Linked DNA regions of Xenopus tropicalis. The protein of the gene in region 1 binds, or shares a complex with, the protein of each later gene. Links are inferred from orthologs where the notes say so. Each region holds a gene or a part of one and is shown in the gene's direction. Other genes may lie near its edges. The genes, in order: strn, stk24, stk26 and stk25.

Evidence for each region.
Region 2: strn (region 1) and stk24 share a complex: the UniProt entries of both Homo sapiens proteins name them as parts of the core of STRIPAK complex. The link is inferred for Xenopus tropicalis from reciprocal best matches to the Homo sapiens genes STRN and STK24.
Region 3: strn (region 1) and stk26 share a complex: the UniProt entries of both Homo sapiens proteins name them as parts of the core of STRIPAK complex. The link is inferred for Xenopus tropicalis from reciprocal best matches to the Homo sapiens genes STRN and STK26.
Region 4: strn (region 1) and stk25 share a complex: the UniProt entries of both Homo sapiens proteins name them as parts of the core of STRIPAK complex. The link is inferred for Xenopus tropicalis from reciprocal best matches to the Homo sapiens genes STRN and STK25.

What each region holds. Positions count from the first base shown.
Region 1 is NC_030681.2:50,048,442-50,054,112, forward strand, and holds part of strn (striatin), read left to right. Parts: intron 1-1,663; coding exon 1,664-1,800; intron 1,801-2,757; coding exon 2,758-2,933; intron 2,934-3,279; coding exon 3,280-3,327; intron 3,328-4,117; coding exon 4,118-4,239; intron 4,240-5,383; coding exon 5,384-5,551; intron 5,552-5,671. UniProt on the Homo sapiens protein: Calmodulin-binding scaffolding protein which is the center of the striatin-interacting phosphatase and kinase (STRIPAK) complexes.
Region 2 is NC_030678.2:121,399,186-121,404,856, forward strand, and holds the end of stk24 (serine/threonine-protein kinase 24), read left to right. Parts: intron 1-117; coding exon 118-260; intron 261-1,272; coding exon 1,273-1,378; intron 1,379-1,856; coding exon 1,857-1,925; intron 1,926-2,298; coding exon 2,299-2,435; intron 2,436-3,745; coding exon 3,746-3,782; 3' UTR 3,783-4,719; downstream 4,720-5,671. UniProt on the Homo sapiens protein: Serine/threonine-protein kinase that acts on both serine and threonine residues and promotes apoptosis in response to stress stimuli and caspase activation.
Region 3 is NC_030684.2:67,410,094-67,416,481, forward strand, and holds the start of stk26 (serine/threonine-protein kinase 26), read left to right. Parts: upstream 1-2,655; 5' UTR 2,656-2,846; coding exon 2,847-2,888; intron 2,889-6,388. UniProt on the Homo sapiens protein: Serine/threonine-protein kinase that acts as a mediator of cell growth. Modulates apoptosis. In association with STK24 negatively regulates Golgi reorientation in polarized cell migration upon RHO activation.
Region 4 is NC_030681.2:125,796,260-125,802,724, forward strand, and holds the start of stk25 (serine/threonine-protein kinase 25), read left to right. Parts: upstream 1-2,183; 5' UTR 2,184-2,410; intron 2,411-5,103; 5' UTR 5,104-5,112; coding exon 5,113-5,334; intron 5,335-5,511; coding exon 5,512-5,568; intron 5,569-6,149; coding exon 6,150-6,258; intron 6,259-6,465. UniProt on the Homo sapiens protein: Oxidant stress-activated serine/threonine kinase that may play a role in the response to environmental stress.

The sequences.
Region 1 (5,671 bases):
TCTCCCTTCTCCTGCTGCCCCCTCCCTCAAGAATGCTAAGAACTCCCTCCCCCTTAGGAATGTGTGATCTGAGCCAATCAGCAGAAAGCTGACTCATAATCTTACAAACTGCGCATGTACACCGGTCTTGGTGCAGGAGCATGGCATTATGGGAACTTTCTTTACAGAGCTCAGTGGTTTTTTTTTCCTATGAGGCTTCTGATCATCTGAATGGGAGAAATATGGGGAGACACAAGGGCACTGTTGAGAGAACTAAAGGTATGCCTACAGGTTGAAAATAACTCTTTAATAGCCTTTCCTTCTCCTTTAAGTGTAATAAAAGTGGTTTCCTGTTATGCACCACTATTGTGACTTTCTGAGCTGAATAGTGTTTTTATTATTTTGCACCATTAGGTATCTCTTAATTTGAGAGTATTTCATCCATTAATGTGCAGGTAATGGAAACTGTTGCTTAAGTCTATCAAAAGAAGCCATTGTTCACCTTTGCCAAGCATCTCCTATGGTGAGAATACCACACCCTTCCAACATAAGGTTTTTTCCCAGCTTAGCAATATTAGGAAAGCAGACATTTTTCCAGAAAGGGGTCTAAGGAAGTATATTAGTAAACAGCATTAGTTGGACTGTTTTTTTGGCAAACTTGTTGCACAAAAATCACAACATGATTGGTACAGGTAGAGCCCAGCAATGTGCTATGACGTTGGTAAACTGACTGATGATTTGCGTTTTCCACCTAAGCTGCCAAGTGGCTTAATTGAGCCTCAGTGTAGTACAAAAAGATATTGGGGAAAGCAACACTTAGTCAAGGTATTTAGTTGACAAGGGCGGGAGCCTCCCCAAATCAGCTGTGTAAATAATGTGACAAAGATACACTAAAGACTAATTGGGCAAGGGGCTTGCCAGAGACCATAAGTTAGTTAGGGAAGGAGTATCACCTTTTTAAGTTGTATTCTACCCATTGGGCCTATTAAGAAAGATTTCCAAGTTTTGCTTTTGTTAGTTATGAAATCTTTTAGCAGAAGTATGTTTACGTTATAGTATCCAGAAATAGGTAGTTTGATCACTACCCCCAAATAGGTAAATTGATTGACTATTGGGGAAGGTTGGATCCACAGGTAGAATAACTTACTTATTTAGCAGCACTTGTAACAGCACCCTTAATTTGAGCAAATGTGGTGCTTAGGCCTAGGAGACTTACCAGGGAAAGTCCTTGATCACCCAAATATACTAAAGTATTGTCTGTGCATAATTGTATATGTTCTCTTGCACGTGAAATTGGGGTGTTGTCTAATTGCTTGTGCAAATGGCTTCATAGCTAGGGCAAAGAGCATTGGGGACAGGGGGCATCCCTGTCATGTGCCCCTTTTAAGTGGAAATTGTTCACTATTGGAGCCATGGACCACTATTGAGGCCTTTTACAGAAGTCAGGACCAAGGTAAAAAAGTTTCAGAGTGCGCCACAGATGAAGGGTAGATGTCTAGTGAAGTCAAGTTCTGAGGACATTTTTCTCCCCAATATGGTTTTATGCAGCTTAGTTACCATTGTAAAATTGGGAAATTGATCATTTTAAATTATTTGCTTTACTTGACACTTTCTGGATATTGCGTTTCCACATAAAAGATCACATTCTTTTAAAAGTAACAAGCGTGTGTTGTCTTTTTTTCAGTGGAAGCATTAACTTTTCCACCCTCATCTGGAAAATCTTTTATCATGGGAGCAGATGAAGCTTTAGAAAATGAGCTTGGACTTGGAGAGTTGGCTGGACTTACAGTTGCCAATGAAGCAGATTCTTTGACATATGATGTAAGTTCTCCTTCAGAGGGAAGAATTATCAAATAATTTTTACATAAACTGATATTTGCTTTTCATTGTTATTTATGTTGTTTAGAAAGCTAAGAATAGATTGCATTATGTCTTTTTATAGCTGAACACTTAATTATTACATTTTATGTACCTATGATGGTTTTTGATCGATCAGTTCAGTTAAACTAAAGAAGCCTCTCAAATAAGCTGTCACACAGTGTCAAGATTACTGAGCAAGTCCAGTTGACTTATAATTGCCACTACTAGATATACTGATGTCTCTTTTTCCTTTCTGTGTTTTTCTCTTGAAAGCTGTCATAGAGGAGCTGTGTGTTGTACAATGTAAAGGGCTAGTTCACCTTTAAATTAACTTTGAGTATGATGTAGTCAGTGATATGAGATATTATGAGATCATTTTTTTATTTAGGTTTTTTTAGCTCTACAAAATGAAATTTCAAAAGCTATCAGGCTGCTACGGTCTAATTTATGCCAGCAACCAGAGATTTTTGTAACGGACTGAAAGATGCAGCAGAGGTTATCAATATAATGATAAGCAATTAAATAAAAAAGCAGCCCTTTGCTGCTGTAGTTACGCCAAAGACCCCAGACACCTAGATAGCATTTTAAAATGCAGGCTGGAAAAAAGCAGAAGAGAAGGCAAACAGTCCACGTAAAAGGATTCTAAGAATAGGACTATTAATAATGTATTTAAAGTTAACTTTAAGGTGAACTACACTTGCAAAAAACAGTGGAAGTAGTTGTTAGAAAGTTATTATAGGAAATGGATTTTATGATCACTATATTTTAGGCTGTGATTCAAAATATTGCCGTATGGTTGGTTTTACCTTTAGGAGGTAGGTGTATTATTTGGTTATGTAGCATTGTTAAAGTTATTTGTATATAATTCCTTTTTACATAAAACTATAAAGATGTGTGAGTTGTCTTTTCTCTCTCAAGATTGCCAACAATAAGGATGCGTTAAGGAAAACATGGAACCCTAAATTCACATTGAGAAGTCACTTTGATGGCATACGTGGCCTCGCCTTCCACCCTTCAGAGCCAGTGCTTATTACAGCATCAGAAGACCACACTTTAAAAATGTGGAATCTCCAAAAGACTGCTCCAGCAAAAAAGTATGTTTGTGCTTAAACTATGCACTGTTTTTGATTTTTATTACCATAGTGTGTCCTAGGCAGTACTGACAATTTCTTTCTTCCATTGCACCTTGTTGGTTGTAGCTCCTCTTCACTTCATGCAGTTTGGGCTGTTAGCCCAAATAAATGGAAAGATGGAATGTGGTTGTCCATGTTTATGACCAGTCCATATAGTATCCAGCCTTTTTGCACAAGGGCTGATTGGTCAGATACTGTGGAGGGTTGACCAGTTTATGGCCATTTATTACACTCAAATAATTTTTGCAAAAAAACTATAAAATAGACAAGTCAGTTACATATATAAATTACACTTTTTCTCTTTTAGGAGTACATCCCTTGATATAGAACCAATTTACACATTCAGGGCGCACAGGTAAGAAACAAGGTTTTCTTTTTTGCTAATGTTTCTATTTAGATCACCGTTTATATTTGTGGTAATGGGTAAAGTTAAAGATTAAGAGAAATTTTTAATAGCTGTGCAGTAAAATATTTAGGCATTGATTAAATTAAATGCATCATACACCAATGACTTTTCAAAGAAGAGACTATATTTGAAATATATGTTTTTTTAGTCCCTTTTATATTAAGGTATTTCCTAACATGGTAAACTGGTGCCTGTTGTATTTATCCGCTTGAACCGCAGTGTAACAAAGGTCCATAATTTATGCACATGACTGCCTTCAAATTGAACATGTTCTAAGATTAATTCAAGTTTGATTTGACTTATTAAATCATATATCAGTGTTTAGTATCTCTCGCTTGTGGCAGACGTGTGATCAGTACACTGCGCCAATTTAATGTGCTTGTGCCCGTGCCATTGATGAGTTGATGCCACATGCATAATGAGCTAGTAGGGAGACTCTCTCATTAAAAGGGTTTTAACCTTCAAATTAACTTTAAGGATGGCAGAGTCATTAATATTCAATATTGATATCCTCAATAGGTGCTCTTTAAGGTAAGGCAGTAAAATATCTAGAATGGCTAGACATTGTACTGGATTAGAACTAGTGTTATTTGACTGCGCCTAAGTATCACCTTGCAAGCAATATTTTCAATTGTCAGAAGTAATTGCTGATAGGTTATTTTTATCTTCTACTCAACGTTGAATTTTGTTTTTTCGTGTTTTTAATTAATTACTCAAATAAGCATCCTATCCTTTCCAGGGGCCCAGTACTTTGTGTAGTAATGAGCAGTAATGGGGAGCAGTGTTACAGTGGAGGAACAGATGGTGTTATCCAGAGCTGGAATACTCCTAACTCCAACGTGGATCCATATGATTCTTATGGTATGTTACAAACTTAGCAGTTTGCAGCAGAGGGACATCAAAACTCATCATATTCATGCACTTTTTCACAATTTTTAAAATCAAATTTTCTGTTTAATGGGTAAAAACAAACTTAAAAAGCACATATGCCCCTTGTTCTTCTCAGTGCTGATGAGATCACAACACAGTGCATTGGCTATTAAAGGAGAAGTAAACACAGCCTTTGCTATAACGACCAGTATATTGCCTTTTCCACTCCCAAACCCCATTGGTTTCTCAGGATTTGTTTATGCCTTTCAGTTCCGACTTTTGAAACAATGTTGCAAATTAAAGAAGTGCACAGATTGTAAAGTGTTAATAAATAACCATATCCAACTGAAATATTGGATATTGTTTAATGTGTATTAGAAATTGTTTAGTGTGCTGCTTTAATAAGTCAGTGTACGATTATTCCATGGTATTTACAAATGAGCTAATGGACAATGGTTGAGGAGTAAAACCAAATTAATTATTTTGAGGTACCGTACTAGCATTATCTTTTAAGGGAAGCGACTTTGTGTGATGCTGAGCAAGTTCATTATGGCATTCAGAATCTTAAAGTGGACCTGTCACCCAGACATAAAAAGCTGTATAATAAAAGTCCTTTTAAAATTAAACATGAAACCCAAATTCATGTTTATATTAACACATCAAAACCCATTATAAAGGCAATTAAAAATCCCAGCTGTCAATCATACATTGCTTGCCCCGCCTCTATGCCTTAGGCATAGAGGCGGGCAGTGCACATCTCACTTTTCCCCTCCCTCCTCATCATCTAATTGTGTAGCCAGTGCATGGGCATAGGCATCTGGTCCCCCATTCTGGCACATAAACAAGATTTTGGCATGATACAAAGCTTGTCTTCATAACAGTGTCCACAAAATGGTGCCTGCCTGCTTGCTTTGATTGAGTAATTCCAAGACTGAAGGAAACAAGATTTGTATTATTTATATAGTGTAAGTAAAGTTTATTTTGCTAAATAATTTGGAGTTATTTCTTAGGGTGACAGGTCCCCTTTAAGGCAAAGCAAGTTTTGAGAGAGAGACAATTTTAAAGTCCCTGTGTCTAGAATAATGCTGTTGAATGTATGAATGTTTGCTTTTTTTTTTTTTCCCCTTAAAAACAGACCCTACTGTTCTGAGAGGAGCATACGAGGGCCACTCTGATTCTATTTGGGGATTAGTTTATAGTGCAGTACATCAACGTTTATTGTCAGCCTCTGCAGATGGAACAATACGAATCTGGAATGCTGCTGAAGTCTCTCCTGCATTAAGCACATTCAATGAAAACCAAGGTAATTCAATTAACATTTAAAGTAGTTGATGGATTCTTTACATTATTTTCAGTTTTTTTTTTGTGTTTTTTGTATAATATTTTATGGAAAAGAAGAACAAACCCCGCCCTCCCTGCATTA
Region 2 (5,671 bases), on another chromosome or scaffold:
CAAATACTTGGGAGTGGCCGGCTCATAAAACTAGCTGATATCTTTTGTTATACATAACTTATTGCTTGAACCTGTTCTAAATGGAAATATATGAACAATTTTTTTAACCTCTGCCAGAGACCCTCAGCTAAGGAACTGCTGAAACACAAGTTTATTATGCGAAGTGCAAAGAAAACCTCCTACTTAACAGAGCTCATAGACAGATACAAGAGATGGAAGATAGAACAGGGCCATGAAGCCTCCAGCTCAGACTCTGAGGAGTAAGTACCAATGAAATGACTTTGCTAGTGGTTTGGCTTACTTGTATGTAAGGTCAAAGCACTATTAATATTATAATAAGCCACTTCTTGCTCTTCTACATATCTGTGTTCAGCGGCACTAACTCTGTGTCGCTTCCTGAATTGCGTACATTGATGTAGGAAACCCTGAAGCTGCTGTCCCCTTCAAGGGTGCAGTAACCGCAGTGTTCCCATAGTGGCCTGTGTCATTTGATGCAGTGGACTTGCACCTAAAGAATCAGGGCACAGCCATTGTTTTAAAGCAGAGCCCCACCAATGTTGACATCTGAACCCAAAAGATTCTCAGCGCAAGTGTGTCTGATTCACATTGAACTGTACATGCAAAAATATGGCTTGTGCTCAAAATAAGCCCTTTTGTGTTCCTTCTGATGGTGTTTTCATTTAGAATGTGGGATTTATAAAGCAAGAATTGGAAATAGAAACAAAATGGAGTTACCACATGTACAGTGTAGTTGCCTTTGGAAGTGACTCCATCCCCAATGATTATTTCCAAATTTACTTCAGCATTAACTCTGGTGCCTCAGCTCATTAACACTCAATGAATTCCTCCTTTGACCCCATCCTACTGTTCAGTAATAATGAAATGAAATAAGTTGATGGCTTAAAAATACTCCAGAGCTGATCATTTTGTGTTAATACATATGTTTTTTGCTGCTTGCAAAGTAGTGGTTATCTTGGGTCAGCATTTGCTGCTCTGGGGGCTTCTGCAAGCAGTTTCAGTTGTCCCTGACAGCAGTGCAGACTGAGTGTCAAATCCTGGGGATAAGAGAAACTGGTAGAGAGACTGGTTGGGTATGCCAGTAGGAATTACAAATGCAGCTGCAAGCTAATCACCTTTTCTAAAACTGTGTGTGTTCTATGAAAAAATTGAAATAATTATAGTAATACAGGGGAAAATTGATCAGGCATAGAGTGCAGGTTCAGTAATAAGAAATAAACCTTGTATATATGTCTGCCTTTGCCCACTGTAAAGGGAAGAAGTAGATCAAGCTGCTGGCAGCGAGAAGGATTATTGGAACTTCACAAGAAGAAAGAGAGACTTGAAGAACTTGGAGCCCATTCCTGCACAGCCAGAAGAGGTAAGGCATAAAGTCTGAGTCACAAGAAAAGTTCCTATTGTCCAGCCATTATACTACAGTTTATATTAATATGAACCAATGACTTATAATGGTAAGTGCTTGCTACACTCCCCAGCCTTGCTTGATATGGGAAAAACATACACTGCCTATTACTTTAAATCTTATAATAAAGTAAGTGCTTAACAATGTCTCCCTCCGATGCTTTTAGGAGTAGTCAAGGCAGCATAATCCCTGTCTTTTTCATTTATTATTATAGCATTAATTGTATTGATGGCAGTAAGAGTCATGTTCTTTAAATGAACAAGAATGGAAAGGGTTATGTGCAGTACTCACCGTCCTCACTTCTCTTTGCTTGTATGTATATATGCTGTATATTAAGAAATATGAATTTTGTCTCTTTTAAATTAAAATAATCATTCTTCTAAAATGTCTGCTTACTGACGAATACTGATTTATTTTTTTTTACATTACATTTAAGGTTAAAGACATTCCCAAACGGCCATTGTCTCAGTGCTTATCTACAATTATGTCTCCTTTATTTGCAGAGGTAGGTACATTTTGTCTATTCTTTGGCTCATTCTTGTTTTAATGAGCAGCTGCCCCTAAGGGTAAGACTGATGCCACATGGGGCTGATTCTCGGCTTGTTGAAAAATGCAGACCAAGAATCGGCACCCTTCGCTGGTATCAGCTGCCTTCTTTGCCTTCACCTGGAGCCATTGTGTTGCCCAGGGTGCAGGCACATGCAGGAGATATTGGTAAAGAAATGCCGCATGTGCCCAGACTCGCACATTTGTTCTGGGTGCAGCCAAAGAAGAAGGCTGATGCCAGCTTAGGGGCTAATTCTCAGACTTTCCCACAGACCGAGAATCATCCCAGTGTGGCATTAGCCTTAGACTTTTGCATTTTTTTCTACTTTCAGCTGAAGGAGAAGAGTCAAGCGTGTGGCGGGAACGTAGGCTCAATAGAGGAACTGAGAGAGGCAATTTATTTAGCTGAAGAGGCCTGTCCGGGTATCTCGGACTCCATGGTATCACAGCTTCTTATTAGGCTTCAGAGGTGAGAACTAACATTTTGCATGGATTTGTTTCTTGCTGATCACATATATCAATGTGTGCGTGAGTGTTGTGTATTTCACCGTGACCTGGTTCTGCATAGCAATAGTTTCAATTTAGTATTTACCACTTGTTTTGCCACCGGGACACCACACAGTAATAGAGAAAAGACAATTTAGTTGGTTAAGGAGTCAAATTTCACACAATTTAATTCAAAGCTTTATACTTAAATGAAACCTTTGGAGCACACAATAACCCAGACAGTAATTTAACTTAATTGTTTCCTTTGGAGAGAGTGGGACCTACCTAGATTGGATTTGGTATGCCGAATGCTTGGAACTTTTTTTTCTTTGCTTCTGTCTCTTGCTCTAAGGCTAAAATATACTAAAATGATATAGTATATGTGACCCCCCCCCCCCCCCCCCCCAAACTTGTAGGCAATAATGAATAATATGTGGTGCAGATTTCACTCAGGGCTAAAAATGATCATTATCTTTAAAAAATGGCCCCTTTTATTGGAGCTCCCTGTAGATTTGCCCTCTCCTTGTTTCAAATAAGGTGTACCAGAAGCACAGTAGAAGCGGGATAGCCAATCACAGCCCTGCAGTCACACACACAATGGCAGGTTTCAGGTCCTTATCAGTTACACCTAGCTGCTGATTGGTTCCTGTCCTACAATGCAGTGTGCTAAGTGCTTCTGGTTCCTTTGCACAGCCTGGGAAAGGAGGCAGTAGGAAGTGAAACAGATGGGTGGGACTGTTTTTGGAGAACTTTTCAATAAATCAGCCTTGCAACACTTATTTTTAAAGCACATTTCTTCTATGTTTAGAGGAGTATAATGCAGTGGCACATTCTAGTTTTTTACTATGGATGTACTAAATCCAGGATTCGGCCTAAATTCAGCTTTTTCCACAAGATTAGGATTTGGCAGAATCCATGCTCCTGGCTGAACCAAATCTGAATCCTAAAAATCATGTGACTTTTTGTCACATAAACATAGAAGTTGAAAATGTTTCACTGTCACTTTGTGTGCGGTTCTCCTTAACCCTTCCTTTTCCTAATCGTCAAATGCAAATTAGGATTTGGGTTGGTTTTCGGACAAATCTTTCACAAAAGAAGAGGATGGCTTGGTTGGCGGAACCCCAGGCTGGTGCTCCAGACTGCCAAAAACTGCACCGGCCCTGGGTTCCTTCAACCAAGCCATCCTCGGGCAAGTGATTACAAACGCTGGGCGTACCAAACGTTTGGCAACCAAAATAATAACCAAAATAATTGGCTGCCCTTCGTTACTCCTTTCCTATTCTTGCATTACAGGTATTCCGTTAATGGAGTGGACTCTTCCTCGCACTGAAGAATGTTTTCCTCCTTTTTAAGGCAAAAATGGACCTTGCATTATTATCCCTATCGTACTTGCCTCTGCTCATGGATATCACAGGACATGGACATTCCTGAATGATGAGTGACTAAACATAGGGAAATGGTGAAAGCTATAGTTTTTATGATTTTCTTTTCCTTTTTTTTTTTCTAATCATAGTACGAATATATAAAAATGTAAAAACAAAAAACTCTGCAAAGTACTGTGATAAGGCAAATGAAGATATTGTGAAACCTCAGGTATCTTGCTTTAAGCAGTCAGTTCTGCTGGAGATGGAATGAAAGCTCTGTGCAATTCTTGTACAATAAATTACTCCATCAGATGCCTCAGCCTTCCTTCCTCAAGCGGCTGTCAGCTCCCAGCATGCCCCAGCAGTTGAAGGGTATGAATACTGGGTAATGCAAATCACAGCAGCTGGAGGGACGTGGGCTGACATCCCAGCTTTACAGTTGACTATTTACTAGAGTTTGCCAACCTACAAACTGACCCAGGGCATCCCTAGTTGCAAGAGGGGAATGGAGCCACACACGCTTTGTGTATGGATTTCATGTTTGGCAGCCATACTTATGTTTTATGTTCATGGTTTAAGTCAAGCGCCAAGTGAGTTTTGTTACCTACATATAGAAGCCCCTTTGGACATCTGTTAGATAAAACCAGTTTAATGTTTTGTCAGAATACATATGACATTGTACAGTATTGCTATTTTCTTCAGAACACACGCAGTGGCATTTAGATATGTCTTCAGTACATTTATCGATACATATTATTTGTATATACTTTAAAAGACAGAGGATCGGTACTGTCACAATGGAGTTTTAATGTTTTTAATTTATAGATATGTCTGAAATATGTAAGGCACAGCCTCATCACTAGGATAAGTTATGAGAATATTATAACCCTATACGTACAGAAATGCCTGCAGTTACATCATTCTATACGTGTCACTGATTGGTCTGTGCAGACAGCGGCGGAGCAGTGTCTGTAGCAGGGAGGATCCTGTGACTGTGGGTGAGTGTGAATGGTGAGCTAGTGTGACAGTAACACCGTGTCAGGGCTATCCTGCGTGCCACCCTCCAGCTGCTGAACTACAACATCCAGCACCCGCAACAGTCACAATGTGCTGGCAGTGCCCCCTGCTAGATGCCACAGGTTTATATATAGAGCGAACACAGTTGAAAACTATTATTGTATTTTCATTATTTCGTTTTTTTCTGCTTTCCCTGATAACATTCCTTAGTTAGTGGGCTATACCTACTAAGCAGGAATGCCAGCATTGCAAACCACATATGCCTAGAAAACTGCAGCCCTATATGGGCTGGGCATTGCCTGGTGTTAGTGTTTCTCCAGGCGATGGCAATACAGCACATACCCAGTTATTACAGCTGACTTCACTTTCATAGACTTGGCACTTGCATTATCACCTTTCATGCCAGGAGTCCATGCTTCTTTTCAGTAGGCCTTGTAATGATTTCCATGTTTACATAACCCAAACATTCTCTCAGCTTTGCTGTATCTATGTTACCTGTTGCTTAGAGTTCAGTTTATGTAGACACAAAAAGGGTTTTTGATGAGAAAAAGGAACCTGTTCCCAGCAGGAAGTTGAAGAGGCTTTTCATTTAAGCATGATTGGTTGGCTATGTGCATACCAAAGAGAGAGGAGTTGTTAGCTTGGCTGCCCCCACCCTCCAAGTAATTTAGTCACTGGAACAGAAATAAAATGATTTACTTCTGACCCAAGCTAAATATATGAATGGGCTTGGGTGAGTGGGATAGGAGCTTTTAATTTTTCTTTTACAGAAAATACATGTATTGCAAACCTTCATTTTCTAATTTAAAAGGACTTGCCAAAAGCCTGTAGTCCGTAA
Region 3 (6,388 bases), on another chromosome or scaffold:
TTACAAAAATACAAAAAACCTTAAAGGAGACATATTGGATAAATGGGAAAACCCTAATTTTGTAGGCAATTATGAATAATATCCGGTGCTGGTTTCCCTTTGGGCTAAACATTAATCCTGTCTGTAACAATGGCCCCTTTATTGGAGCTCCCTATAGATCCTATCACTTCTCTGTCAGAGTTTGAAATGGAGAGTGGGCGTGTCCTAACGGTCCCTGCCAGAAGCACAGTAGGAGGGGGATAGCCAATCACAGCCCTGCAGGCACACAAGCACAGACAGGCTTCAGTTCCCTATCAGGTCAGCCTAGCTGCTGATTGGTTCCTATCCTACAGTGCAGGGTACTGAGAGCCGCCGGCTCCCCAGCTCATCCAGAGAATTCAGCCAGCAGGAAGTGGAACAGATGGGCGGGGCTAGTGGGGTTTTTGTGGAATTTCTCAATAAATCAGTCAGAAACACAACTTTTTAAGCACAATCCTTCTATATCTAGAGGAGTATAATTCCCTGGCACATTCATAATTTTTATAGGATATGTCTCCTTTAAATGCATAGTCACCCAGTGTCTGACTATGCAAAGTTTGGGAACCCTGGCAACAAACCAATAAAAATTAATAGGTGAAATCTGATTGGTTGTTGGTAGCTCCGCCCACTTTTTAAAACTAAAACTGCAGTCCACTAGTGACCAACTGTGAAAAGTTTGGGGACCCTGGTGTTCTGTGAGAATGGCAGCAGGTTGAATTTCCTATTGAAAGTCAATAAGTAAACTCTGATTGGCTGTTGGTGGCTTCTCCCACTTTATCTTACCTTGAACCACAGTTACCTGGTACCTAACCCTGCAAAGTTTGGGGACCCTGGGGTTATTACTGTGAGAATGGCAGCAGGTTGGATTTCCACCAAGTCAATAGGTAAAATCAGATTGGCTGTTCACAGCTCCACCCACTTTTGGGCATCCAACAATCATCCTATTTTCATTCAGGCTGACCCCATGACTATGTGATTCAAGTTTGGGGAGTGTAGCCTCAAAGCTGTAAGATTGGCAGCAGTTTCAATTTCCCCATTTGATTGGCTGTTGAAATTTGATTGGCTGTTGTTGGCCCCTCCCACTTTGGATCATCCAACAAATGTTGCTGTTTCATTCAGGGTGACCCCATGATTATGTTATTCAAGTTTGGGGGGTATAGCTTCAAAGCTATAAGTGCGGCAGCAGTTTGAAAATCTTCCCTGTCAAAGTCAATGGAAAAATTGGAGCGGCGCCACATAAAGACGGGGGGCGGGATTGCTTAGAAAAGCACAAGCAACCTGCTCCGCTATAGGGCGCAGATGTGTAGCGAGTTTGGGTGTTGTACCCCTAAAACTGTAGGAGGAGTAGCGTTTAGAAAATGGGGGGGGCGCTAAGAATAACAAGAAGAAGCGGAAGAATAAGCCAAAGTCGAAGAACAGTATGTTGGGGTATTCAACACAACACAACTAAACACAGATGCTGGACATTTGTCAACTACAACATACTTCTGTATACAGAGAGACACACAAAAAAACCTTTCATGCTTCAATGGTACTATTATGTAGTGGCTCATTCCTCATAACCCTTTTCTCTACTATCTCTATAATCTTTGTTAGTTGGTATTTAGTGTGTACATCCAGACTGATATCATGGGTAGGGGTCCCACCACCATCACACATGAAGAGGCTATTCAAGTAAAGCAGTAGTGTAAAATATGCAGGAAGGAAAAGCAAATGTGAACAGAATGTAGCAAAATGTTTGTGCCAGTCTTTACAGCAGTAACATGCCACTAGGGGAATTTGTTGACATACTGAATATATTGTGGCCCAAAAATTAGATTGATCTTCTAGTATATTTTTAGCTGGTAAACAGATAACTGTATATTAGCTGCAATCATAAGAAAACAGAGGGAGCTTCTAGGGCTGATTACTCAGGTATGGTAATGCTTTCTGCAGAATAAATATAGTGTTCTAGGTGGCACTAATGTGGTGAATCTGTTGGCAGTAAAATGCCAAAATGACTTTCCTTCTCCTTTAAGCCTCTACAGAACATGCTCCACAAGCTTTACTTAAGTCTTCTTATTCAATAACTGTAAAAGTGTGATACCTAGAGTAATTCTGCACTTTTTAGAACAGTTATTGTAAAAAGTGGAGTCTTCTATAACACATTCGCGCCACCTTTCTTCATAATGAGAAAGTAAAACTTTGTAATATTAGGAGGCTGTAGCCTACAGAACACTTTCTCACAAGCACGGCTATTTATCCTACTTTGAGAAGAGCCAAGGTCACCTATTAAGTAGGATAGTTTAGTCCTAGTATAGGAGCAGAGCCCCATTGAGGCATTGAGGGTTCTGGAAGAATCAGTTCAATACCAAATTAAAGCAGATTCAGTCAGACAGAGATATTGTAAGAGTCACCCTGCATGACTGACATAACAAAATGGAAAGTCTGCGACGGATTTGCCTCGTTATGCAAAGCTTCCCAGCCCTGCCCAGGTAGCATGACATCTTCCTAGTCACCTTTTCACATACTAGCGCTCAATGATCGCTTGGGGCGGGGCCGCCTGACATCACCACAACCCCACGTGACCGGCTTCAGTCAGACTGCGGCTCCACCCTGCGTGGCTTCAGCTGCAGCCTTCAGTCCTCTCCCAATATGGCGCCCCGAGCTTGCTGAGCTTCTACCCAGGCTTTCAGTACTTGGACCTTCACCGAGAAATGGTCACAGTGTCAGGCTGCAGACGGATAGCCACGGATAGCCAGAGCAGTGTTTGAGCAGCAGCGGGCAGCAGCAATCCCCGCTCGCACCCCACCGCCAAGTCGGAGTAGGAGGCCTTGACGCCGCCCGCCATGGCTCACTCCCCGGTAGCCGTGCAAGTCCCAGGGATGCAGGTGAGCTGCCACGCAGAGCATACTAGAGCTGCGAATGAGATTTCTCTGTGGCTTTATTAGCCGGCAAACCTCTTGCCCGTTTCTATGGGGCAAAGTCTTTCCCGCAGGATCTTACGATACCTAAGTCGTACCTAAGCAGGATCTTTAGGAAAGCCTGGGCACTGCCAGTTCTCAAGGGGTTGGCAATACCTGTAGTTATAGCCTAGGCACAAGTAGAAGGGCTAGGGCTGGGAGAATCTGAACTTGAAGCTTAGGCACAGTCGGGGGCTGTGTGTATAACATTGGCACTGTATATCCGGAACTGAGAGGCTGAGTGCCAGTACCATAAAGAATCGAACCTTAGACCAGGGTAGGTTCTGTGTCTATAGTATGGGCCGGCTTGGCTTTTCTACATCCTGACACATACAAAGAGGTAATGTCTGCTACCTTGGATTGCTGTAGTTATTGGCCAGCCGAGTAAAGGTTCCCACACCGTCCCAGAAATTCTGCACTTTACTAATACATGGAACTCGCCTGCTACGTCATTAGATAAGATCAGGGATGTCGCCTGTGTGACCCTTGCGACTAACATTGACCGCTCAACCCCTGTGTCAGATTCAGGCAAATCTGCTGAATAGATTGTGTTTTGCACCTGTATATGGAACTGACATTTCAAAGAGACGATAGAAGAACCCCAAGCCAAGCACAGACGTCATCAGTTCACTCCTGTTTGCATGGGTCTAGACACTGTCTGAAACGGGCATACACTGAGAGCTTATACACAATACTGTAAATATTACTGTACAGTAACACACCTATGCTAAACCAGGGCTGTTATATGCTGCCCGCAAGTTGCCCAGCATCATTTATGAAATGTGTTTGCTTTGAGTGCTAGTTCTTACCCGCGTTTAAAAGTACAGGTATGGGATCCCTTATCCGGAAACCCATTATTCAGAAAGCTTCAAATTACAGAAAGCACGTCTCCCATAGACTCCATTTTAATCAAATAATGCAGAATTTTAGAACTGATTTCCTTTTTTTCTGTAGTAATAAAATAGTACCTTGTAATTGATTCCAACTAAGAAATAAATAATCCTTATTGGATGCAAAACAATCCTATTGAGTTTAATGTTTTATTGACTTTTTAGTAGACTTAAGGTATGGAGATCCAAATTACGGAAAGACCCCTTATCCAGAATACCCTTGGTCTGAGCATTCTGGATAACGGGTCCTATACCTGTATCATATCCATGGCTTGGCCAGAATGCATTTATCAATATGGTCAGGGTGTCTTCCTCATTCTGTAATGTAAGACATCTAAGGCACTTGACTAAATACTATGGGTATGCCAGTATTGCTTGTATGCAATAAATGCTATATTTATTAATGTATACTGTACTAACAAAAAAGAGAAAAGCCCAATCTATGTGGCACACAGGTCATCCCACCAAACACTCCAAAATCTATACCCCTGAGTGTAAATAAACCAGTTATACAGTCACTCAGTGGGCTTCTTGGTGCTTGTGGTGTGGCACTTTAGCAGTACGAAATGTATGACCCTAAGTTGTATTGTCATCTTTTATCATTGTCAGTATTCTAAATTTAATATTTTGCAGTGATGAGCTTGAACTGATCCATTATCAAGTTCTCAACCCCTTTTACTGAGGATAAACATGTTACTCATAGTACCCACTTCATACATCAATGTTGGAATTGCTGTTAGGTTTACAGGTGTGTTCAAGCAATGTTCTTATATGCATTTTACATTACTTCCAAGAACAATATTGTAATGAAGACAATTTAAGTACAGAATCTTGAGTTAGGTGCCATGTTTGTATATTTGGAATTAAAATATACGCTTTAAAAAAGCATGGGCATCAAGAAGCTTTTGGCCCTTAACCAAAGTTTAAAGTGAGGTTAATAGTTTACATAAACTTAATGATCTTTAGTAATATTATTCTTTATATAGCATAAACATGTTGTGCATTCTTTTGAGATCCTGTTTATCATTTTAATTTGTCCTTGCACAAGTGGGGCTTACTCTACCACATGCATATATTTTGGGAAGTTTAGGGGCCCAATATATCTCTGTTGTTTTAATCTCTGTTTTATTTATAACTAATTCACAATAACGTGAAGGCCTTTCTGTGTTAAGTATGTTAAGAGTCCTGCTGGTTCAAATTATGTAGGTACATTGGGGTTTGGGTTGTGTATGGCAACTTGCTCAGCTTCTTTCAAAATAGCTTCTCTCCAGCCTTCTGTATTTTCTGATGATGCAACCTTTGATTTTTTGATTACATGGCTTCTGTGTTTTAGAGTGGGCAGCAGGTAGCAGACAGGGTTGTGGGTTTGGTAGCTTGTCAGAGTGGGGAAAAATGCAGGTCATGTGTGGATCTATCTGAATAGACCCATTCAGGTATCTAATGTATGTGCACTTGTTAACTTTCTTTATACTTGACCTGTTCTCGAGACCTGTGCCTATAATTAAATCAGAATACTTGTTAGTTATTTATTGTCCCACAATTCCATGTTGAAGTTTTCTACCGTTTCATTCCTCAACAACAAGTGAAACTTGTGAAACTTTATAAAATATGTTGGCATTTATACAGATATATAGGTGTGCCTGATTGCTCCTTGGTTAGTGGTGTTAGGGGAATGTACACAATGATAAATCAGGCTTGTGTATAACACTGAGAATAAAATACAAAACACTGAAAATATATTTATTTTCATTGATATTGATATCTTCATATATACATGAATAAATATGGATTTTCTTAGTGACTAATTCATTAAAAATAACTAGCACTGTCTGCATAATATTTTCCAGCTACAACAACTTTGTGTAGTCTTGGTTTCACTGCCCTGGTAACACACTTTCTTAATACCACATTAAAGGGGTGGTTCACCTTCAGGTCAACTTTTAGTATGTTATAGTGTGGCCTATTCTTAGCAAGTTTTTTAATTGAGCCTTATATTTTATCTTTTTATAGTTTTTGAATTAGCCTTTTTCTTCTGAATCTTTCCAGCTTTTAAATGGGGTCACTGACTTCCGCAGCCAAAAACTATTGCTCTTTGAGGCTACAGCTTTATTGTTATTGTTACTTTTCATTACTTATCTTTCTATTTAAGCCCTTCGCTATTCATAATTGTCTTTTTTAAGCCACTGCCTGGTTGCCAGGTTAAATTGGACCATAGCAACCAGATAGATGTTGAATTTCCAAACTGGAGAGTTGCTGAAATAATTCAAGAACCACAAATAATAAGAAATGAATTCCAATTGCAAATTGTCTCAGAATAGCATTTTCTACATCATACTAACAGTTTATTTGAAGTGGAACAACCTCTTTAAGCACATGAACAAGAAAGACAACACAATGTAACAAATGGAGGAATGGCAAAAATGTAAAGTGGTAGATTGCCTTTAGCTTTTACTATGGAGCAGATAGTGATATTTCAAGACAATTTGTAGTTAGTCTTTTTTTTATGATTTTGTGATTTCTGAATTATGTAGCTTTGTG
Region 4 (6,465 bases), about 76 Mb from region 1:
TGCTATTTGTGTTATTGCAGAAGCTGTCCATCCAGAGGATGATTTCTTAGGGCTCAAAGGATATTGATTTCTAAATTGATGTTTAGCTAATGCCACATAGGGGCTTATTCTCAGTGTGCGGATAAACACACCATTTCAGCCTGTGATAAACCAACTTAACCAATCACTGATGGCGTTGGTGGGAACTGTCTTTTGTATTATATATAATATATATTATTTGGTCAGTATGCACTAATGGCAAAAATTGGCATTTAAATTAGCATTAACTATTCTATCCTGAGTGTCATAAACAGAGTAAAGTTGTAAAACTCTTAAAGGGGACCTGTCAGCCACACATAAAAATAATAATTAAAAAACATGAAAACCAAAATTATTTTTTTAATTAAATCATCCATATCTGTTATAAATGAATTTAAAAATCTGAGCTGTCAATCCTATATTGCCTATGCCTAAGGCATAGCGGCCGGTCAGGCACTATAGGATTGACAGCTCAGATTTTTAATTACAGTTTCTTTCCATTTAGCACAGGCAGCATTGAAGCATTTGTAAGAAGGTGGAAAAATGATGCATTTGAGTGCATTTGAATGGAACATATGTTTGGTTAATAAGTGTGATAGTGTGTTAAATGGTAATACAAAAATGTTATGTGTTAAGTTGGCCACCAGGTGGCAGCAGAGTAATATAGGTTTAATAAAAAATAGGGTAAGTGTACTTCATACCACCAGCCACCAGGGGTCAGTCTAGGCAGAAAAGTATAAAGTATAAAAAAGGGGTTGTCACCTGGGTCCAGTTGTCTTGACTGGAGGGCGTGGCAGAGATAACATCATCTGTAGGAGGGTAAGTCAGACCTGGCACCAGTAGGGGAGGTTTAGCTTAAAGTAAGAGTGAGCACTAGGTGAACCAGACAGACAGGTAAGTGAGCATGGGCAGCCCAATGCCCCAACATCATGGGGTGGGGAAGAGGCAGGCCTTGGGGTCTGCGATTGGCCAGTTGCCTCGTCAATGTTACTGGGCCCTGCCTGGTTTTCCTAATTTGAGAAACCAAGCGGTAGGTTCAAACAGGTGGCAACCCTACTGGTGGGACAGTCGGACACTGTATGATTGTGTGCATGAATCCTCTGGTGTCCCGAATGAAAAATAAATGTGTCACTTTAGTTTAGACATAGTGATATTCAATCAAATAACTGCCTGTCTCTCCTACACATTGGTTTAATAGAATCATTAAATGTATAAAATGTAATTACAGTGCTACTGTGCTGTTCTCTATATACATGCATGCCTCTGATAAAGGCGCTGGCCCCACCAGTAGGAGAAGTCTGGGAAAGTAGGCGTGGCCAAAAAATTCACTCCCTCTCACTTAAATGTTGAACAGTAGGCAATGAAATGGAATGATAGTTATGGCCTCATTTTATTTTAGTGGCACATGAGGTGACATCCCCCCCACAGTGTTTTCCAGCCATGCAATGTCCAGCTCAATGTCCAGATGTGCACAATAATGTTCTCCATTGCCACTTCAGTGACTTGAATGGTTAAACACCTGGATCCAGCAGGTGCACTTGTGGCTCAGGAGAAACATTCACTGCCACAGTTAATAGAAATAATTGCATGGCCATTGAGCACATTTTAGGCTTTTTCAATTGCAGGGGTTCAGAATGAATTCAGGTGCTGGTTACAGGGGTTAGATGATTGGGCTGTTACTGACAGTGACTGACAGGGCTGCTCTTAGTGACAAGCTTGGCACAGGCGGCAGTGAGTGGCCAATTACCAGCGATGGCAAAAACAATCTCTGTTTTTAAATAGTGCAATAGCACAGTCTCTGTACTAGCACTTCTGCCCCATATTGACCGGCTCTAAAGTAAAAAAAAAACAAGCCCAGAGTGGGTAAGGGGGGGGGGGGGCAACAGCCCCCAAAAAGCACCTGGTGACTGGCCAGGGCAAAGGAGGGTGATGAAAAAATGACATGTTTGTGGATCTGTGTCACAGATATGCCTTTATATAATAGTGCCCAGTCAAAGAAGTCACCGCAACTGTATCACAATTCTCCTCAGAGATTGTTAATAAAGCTGTCTTGTAATAGGCAGAACGACCACTTGTGCAAAATATAGTGCTGTCCCTTTAAATCCGAGAGCGACAGCTGCTGGTCACATGTTCTGTACTTCCCGTTCCTATGCTGTGTATGTAGAGCAGCAGGGCTCCATCTTGCAGGCTGCTGTTTGAAGTTGCTGTATTAACACTTAGTCAATGCTTTTTCTTTACAGTATTGTTTGTGTGTGCGCCGGTGCCCTGCCTCCTCCTCACCCACATGCTCCAGGGAGTCTCCTGTGTCAGTAAGCAGTGCTAACGAGGGACAAGACATGGTGTCAGCAGCTGCAGTGCTAGCAGGGATCTACAAGCAAAGTACCACAGAACTGTAAGTAGTTCAGAAGGAACACACTCTGTGTGAGCAGTTTAACCCTTCCAATCCCTTACCATTCCCTGTCAGCCTTAGTGGAAACTGCTGCTATATCTGACTGGCACTTGGAAATATCCACAGGAAATAGCAAGTTTGTTGCATACTATGGGGGACTACACTAAGGGCTATATAATAGTAACAATATGGTAAATAAGCAGGGCTGTATCTGTAGTACAGGTTTTGGAAGTCTTCTCCCAGGGCTGGAAATAGGGGTAATGATACCCCTAGTGCAGGACCTTGTTACCCTACTGTTTACCTAGCCCCCCCACAGGCAATGCATACTCATACTCTTTGGCAATTGGTGCATGCTGATAACCCAGAAATGTGCCCCCCCCCCCCCCCCCCCACCAGCTGCTCCTCTAGATTTGACCACAATCTAGGTGACTGGCATGGGTTGCCTTCGAGGGCCTATATAAATATGGCCATCCAGAATTACCCACAATGTTTGAACTACTAGCACAAAATGTGGGCAGCATGGTGGTGCAGTGGACATAGAATTGCTGCCTGTTCTCCCTGTGTTTGCATGGGTTTCCTCCTGGTACCCCAGTTTCCCACAACTCAAAAACATACAGGTAGGTTAACTGTGTTCTGATAAAGCTGACTGTAGTGTGTGTGAATGGCATGTGTCTGTAGATTTGCAGCTCCATAAGAAGCGCCTAAAACATTTGTTGTTATCCTTTTAAAAAACACCTCAACCTACAGAGGTAACTCCAGTCATGTATAGAAATAATCTTATCCTGCATTAATCTGTCCCGTGTGGCAGGAGCCTATTACGCAAAGACCAAATAAAAGTGAAGAAAAGGTTTGAATGGTTACAAATAATAATAACCCCCTGCAGCAGTTTCCTTATATTCTACCTCTGTACTTCAAATTGTACATCTCTGTAATCCCATACCACATGTTACTTTTCTAACAACATTTTACACATCCTTCAAATCACTTCCCCCACAATTATTTTAATTATGAACCCCTGTTTATTTGGAGGTTCGTAATTAAAATATTTTGGGCATCATTTTCGATCAGATGCATTACTACTAGTTTCTTGGCATAGCACAAGACTGCTCTGATGAGAGAACGAGTTCTGTTCAGGGGCAATACATCTGCAACCAGCCCTAACAGGCAGATCTCAGGTGAGTGTAAACATGGGAATGCCATATTCTCAACTCAAGTACCAGATCACCTCCCCTCAAAAACTCTGTTTCGAGGGACAGTTTTACAACAAGTGTAGAAAGGATGCCTCTGGCTGCTGGCATCTCGGAAGCTTGGTCTCAGAGAAATTAATGAAAACATAACCAAAACTAGGGAAGGCTGTACCTATGAGTACTTGATAAAGCCTTGATGTCAGTTTCTTATTCTCCAGGTTGTGTAGGGGGTCAGTTTTACTGGGGGGAAGGTGGGGGTTAACATACTGTGCCCTGAATGCATGGTAAATTTGGAGATACCTACAGAAATGCAAATCTGGCTTCTTGCACTTTGTTTTGAGCTGCAGTAATGTGGGGTATGTGGGGAATTTTTAGAACATCCCTAAGAAACCTAAGGCCCAAGAGCAGCCAGTAGGAGCAGTCCTGAAGGGCTCTAGGGTGGGGTAGGTTACAGTTCATTCAAAGTGGTAGAAAGGGGGAGGGTACAAGAGGTGTGCGTCCAGTAAGTGTACATGCTAACCTCAAAGGGGCAGAGACTGTTGAGGGACAGTCATTGTAGTTGGCTATCCTTCTATATGGCAAACTTTTTACTGCCTCGGGAACCCAAATTTAATCCCAGGAGCAAGAGGCTGGGGTCCACCTCATCTATATGGAACCAACCATGTATATGATGAATTTGGCTGGCTAGGAAATAGTAGCCTAAATAAGGGAGAGCAAGGCCTCCTTTGTCAGTTGGAGACATAAGAGAGGTCCAGGCCATGTGTGGGAACTTATTAGCCCATAGAAATGGGAGCACAGTAGAATTGACATACCTGAATAGCTTCTCAGGGATCCATATGGGGGAATTTTGTCGTTTTTATAACAATATAGGTAAGTAAATCATCTTATATAAGTTGATTCTAAACTGCAAAGAAAAAGGCAGCTTAGACAAGGTAGTTGACAACCTGACCAATATCGTCTTCAGTAAATTAGAGTGTATTGGAGCATATGATGCCAAGGTATTTTTTATTACATTAAGTGGGGATCAAATAGGAAAAGTAGTAAATCATCAGCACAGAGGGCTGGGGGCACCCTTGGAAGTTACCCTTGCCCCCTTGGGATTGTCTATTAAGTTTTATTTCTTATAACCATAGTTAGGCCAATGTTTATCTATACACAGGGTCAGGGGGTCATCCTTTGAATTTACCCTTGCCCCCTTGGGATTGTCTATTAAGTTTTATTTCTTATAACCATAGTTAGGCCAGTGTTCATCTATCCACAGTCTCCATATTTTATCTAAGTTCTCAATAAAGCCTCTCTTTATAAAGGTCATAAAGGGATGGTATCCAATATGCACAATAGAAGGGGATGTGGTAGATTTCTGCTCTATATATCCCAAAGCTTTAGTGTGCTTGTGGTTCATCTAGTATAAATTGCTAATCAGGCTGTCCCATGGGTTGGCATCCTTAGGACCTTTCAGTAGATTATCCATTAGTTGTTATCCTTATTGTAAACTCTCTGCATTTCCAGAGCTCTAGGATGGATCCTGAGCGTCTTTTCACCAAGCTGGAGCGCATTGGGAAGGGCTCCTTTGGAGAGGTGTATAAGGGCATAGAGAATCGCAGTAAAGAAGTTGTAGCCATCAAAATTATTGACCTGGAAGAGGCAGAGGATGAAATTGAGGACATACAACAGGAAATTACAGTGCTGAGCCAGTGTGACAGTCCTTATATCACTCGCTATTATGGTTCCTACCTGAAGGTAACTGCATTTGCTTTTAAATAAAGGTTGTGATTTATAGATCTCTATATGGTGATAAACACTTTTAAACACAATACATGTGCATGTCTGCAGTTATTATCTTCTTAGCGTTACCTGTTTTGCAATATCAGCTCTAGAATGTCTGCCCGCATCTGACAGATTCTCCTCTATCCTCAGGGATCAAAGCTATGGATAATAATGGAGTATTTGGGAGGAGGCTCTGCTCTGGACCTGGTAAGGAAATATGTCTTAACTGTCTTTTGCATTATCCAGGTTCCATCCAGCAACTTGTCAGTTGGTCTTCATATTTTCTTTTTTATAGTTTTTTTTTTAATTATTTGCTGCCTTCTACTGCCTATTTTCAGCTTTCAAATGGGGGTCACTGACCCCAGCAGCAAAAAAACTATTGCTCTGTGAGGCTACAGTTGCATTGTTTTGATTTTTTTTTTTTTCACTAAAAAGCTAAATAATTAAATAACCACATATAATAAAAAAAGAATGGACAGTTGCAAATTGTATCAGAATAGGAGAAGGAAAGGTAAAAACTAAGTAAGCTTTATCAGAAAGGTCTATGTAAATACAACCATAAGCACTCACAGATATGTTATGATATATATCAAAAGAAACACAGGATTTCTTGTCTTCCTTTGTGTAACTAGGCCTGTTAAATACTAGACACTTGGCAACTCTAAATTCACATTCACACTTCTGCTGTGGGCTGATGTGTGCAGCATTTTTGATGTAGATACTCACTCTGCTAATTTGCACTGGTCCTAAATTCTTGCATCACCCATCAATATGTTCTGTTAACTTAGCTGAAACCAGGCCCTCTGGAAGAGGCGTACATTGCCACTATACTACGAGAAATCTTAAAAGGACTTGATTATTTGCATTCGGAGAGAAAGATCCATCGAGACATTAAAGGTAAGAGCCTTATTTGGCATTAGCCAAGAGCTGCTATTATAGCAACTGGAGAGGGTAGAATCTCTGCAACAGGGTATCTCTTTAGGCTGAAAATGAAAAAACCTTGGGGGAAGTACACAGAAACAGGAACAGACTGGGATTCAAAATAAACCCTGGCATTTCAAGTACACAAAGGTCCAAAAAGCCCCTTGCCAGCCCAATAAACAG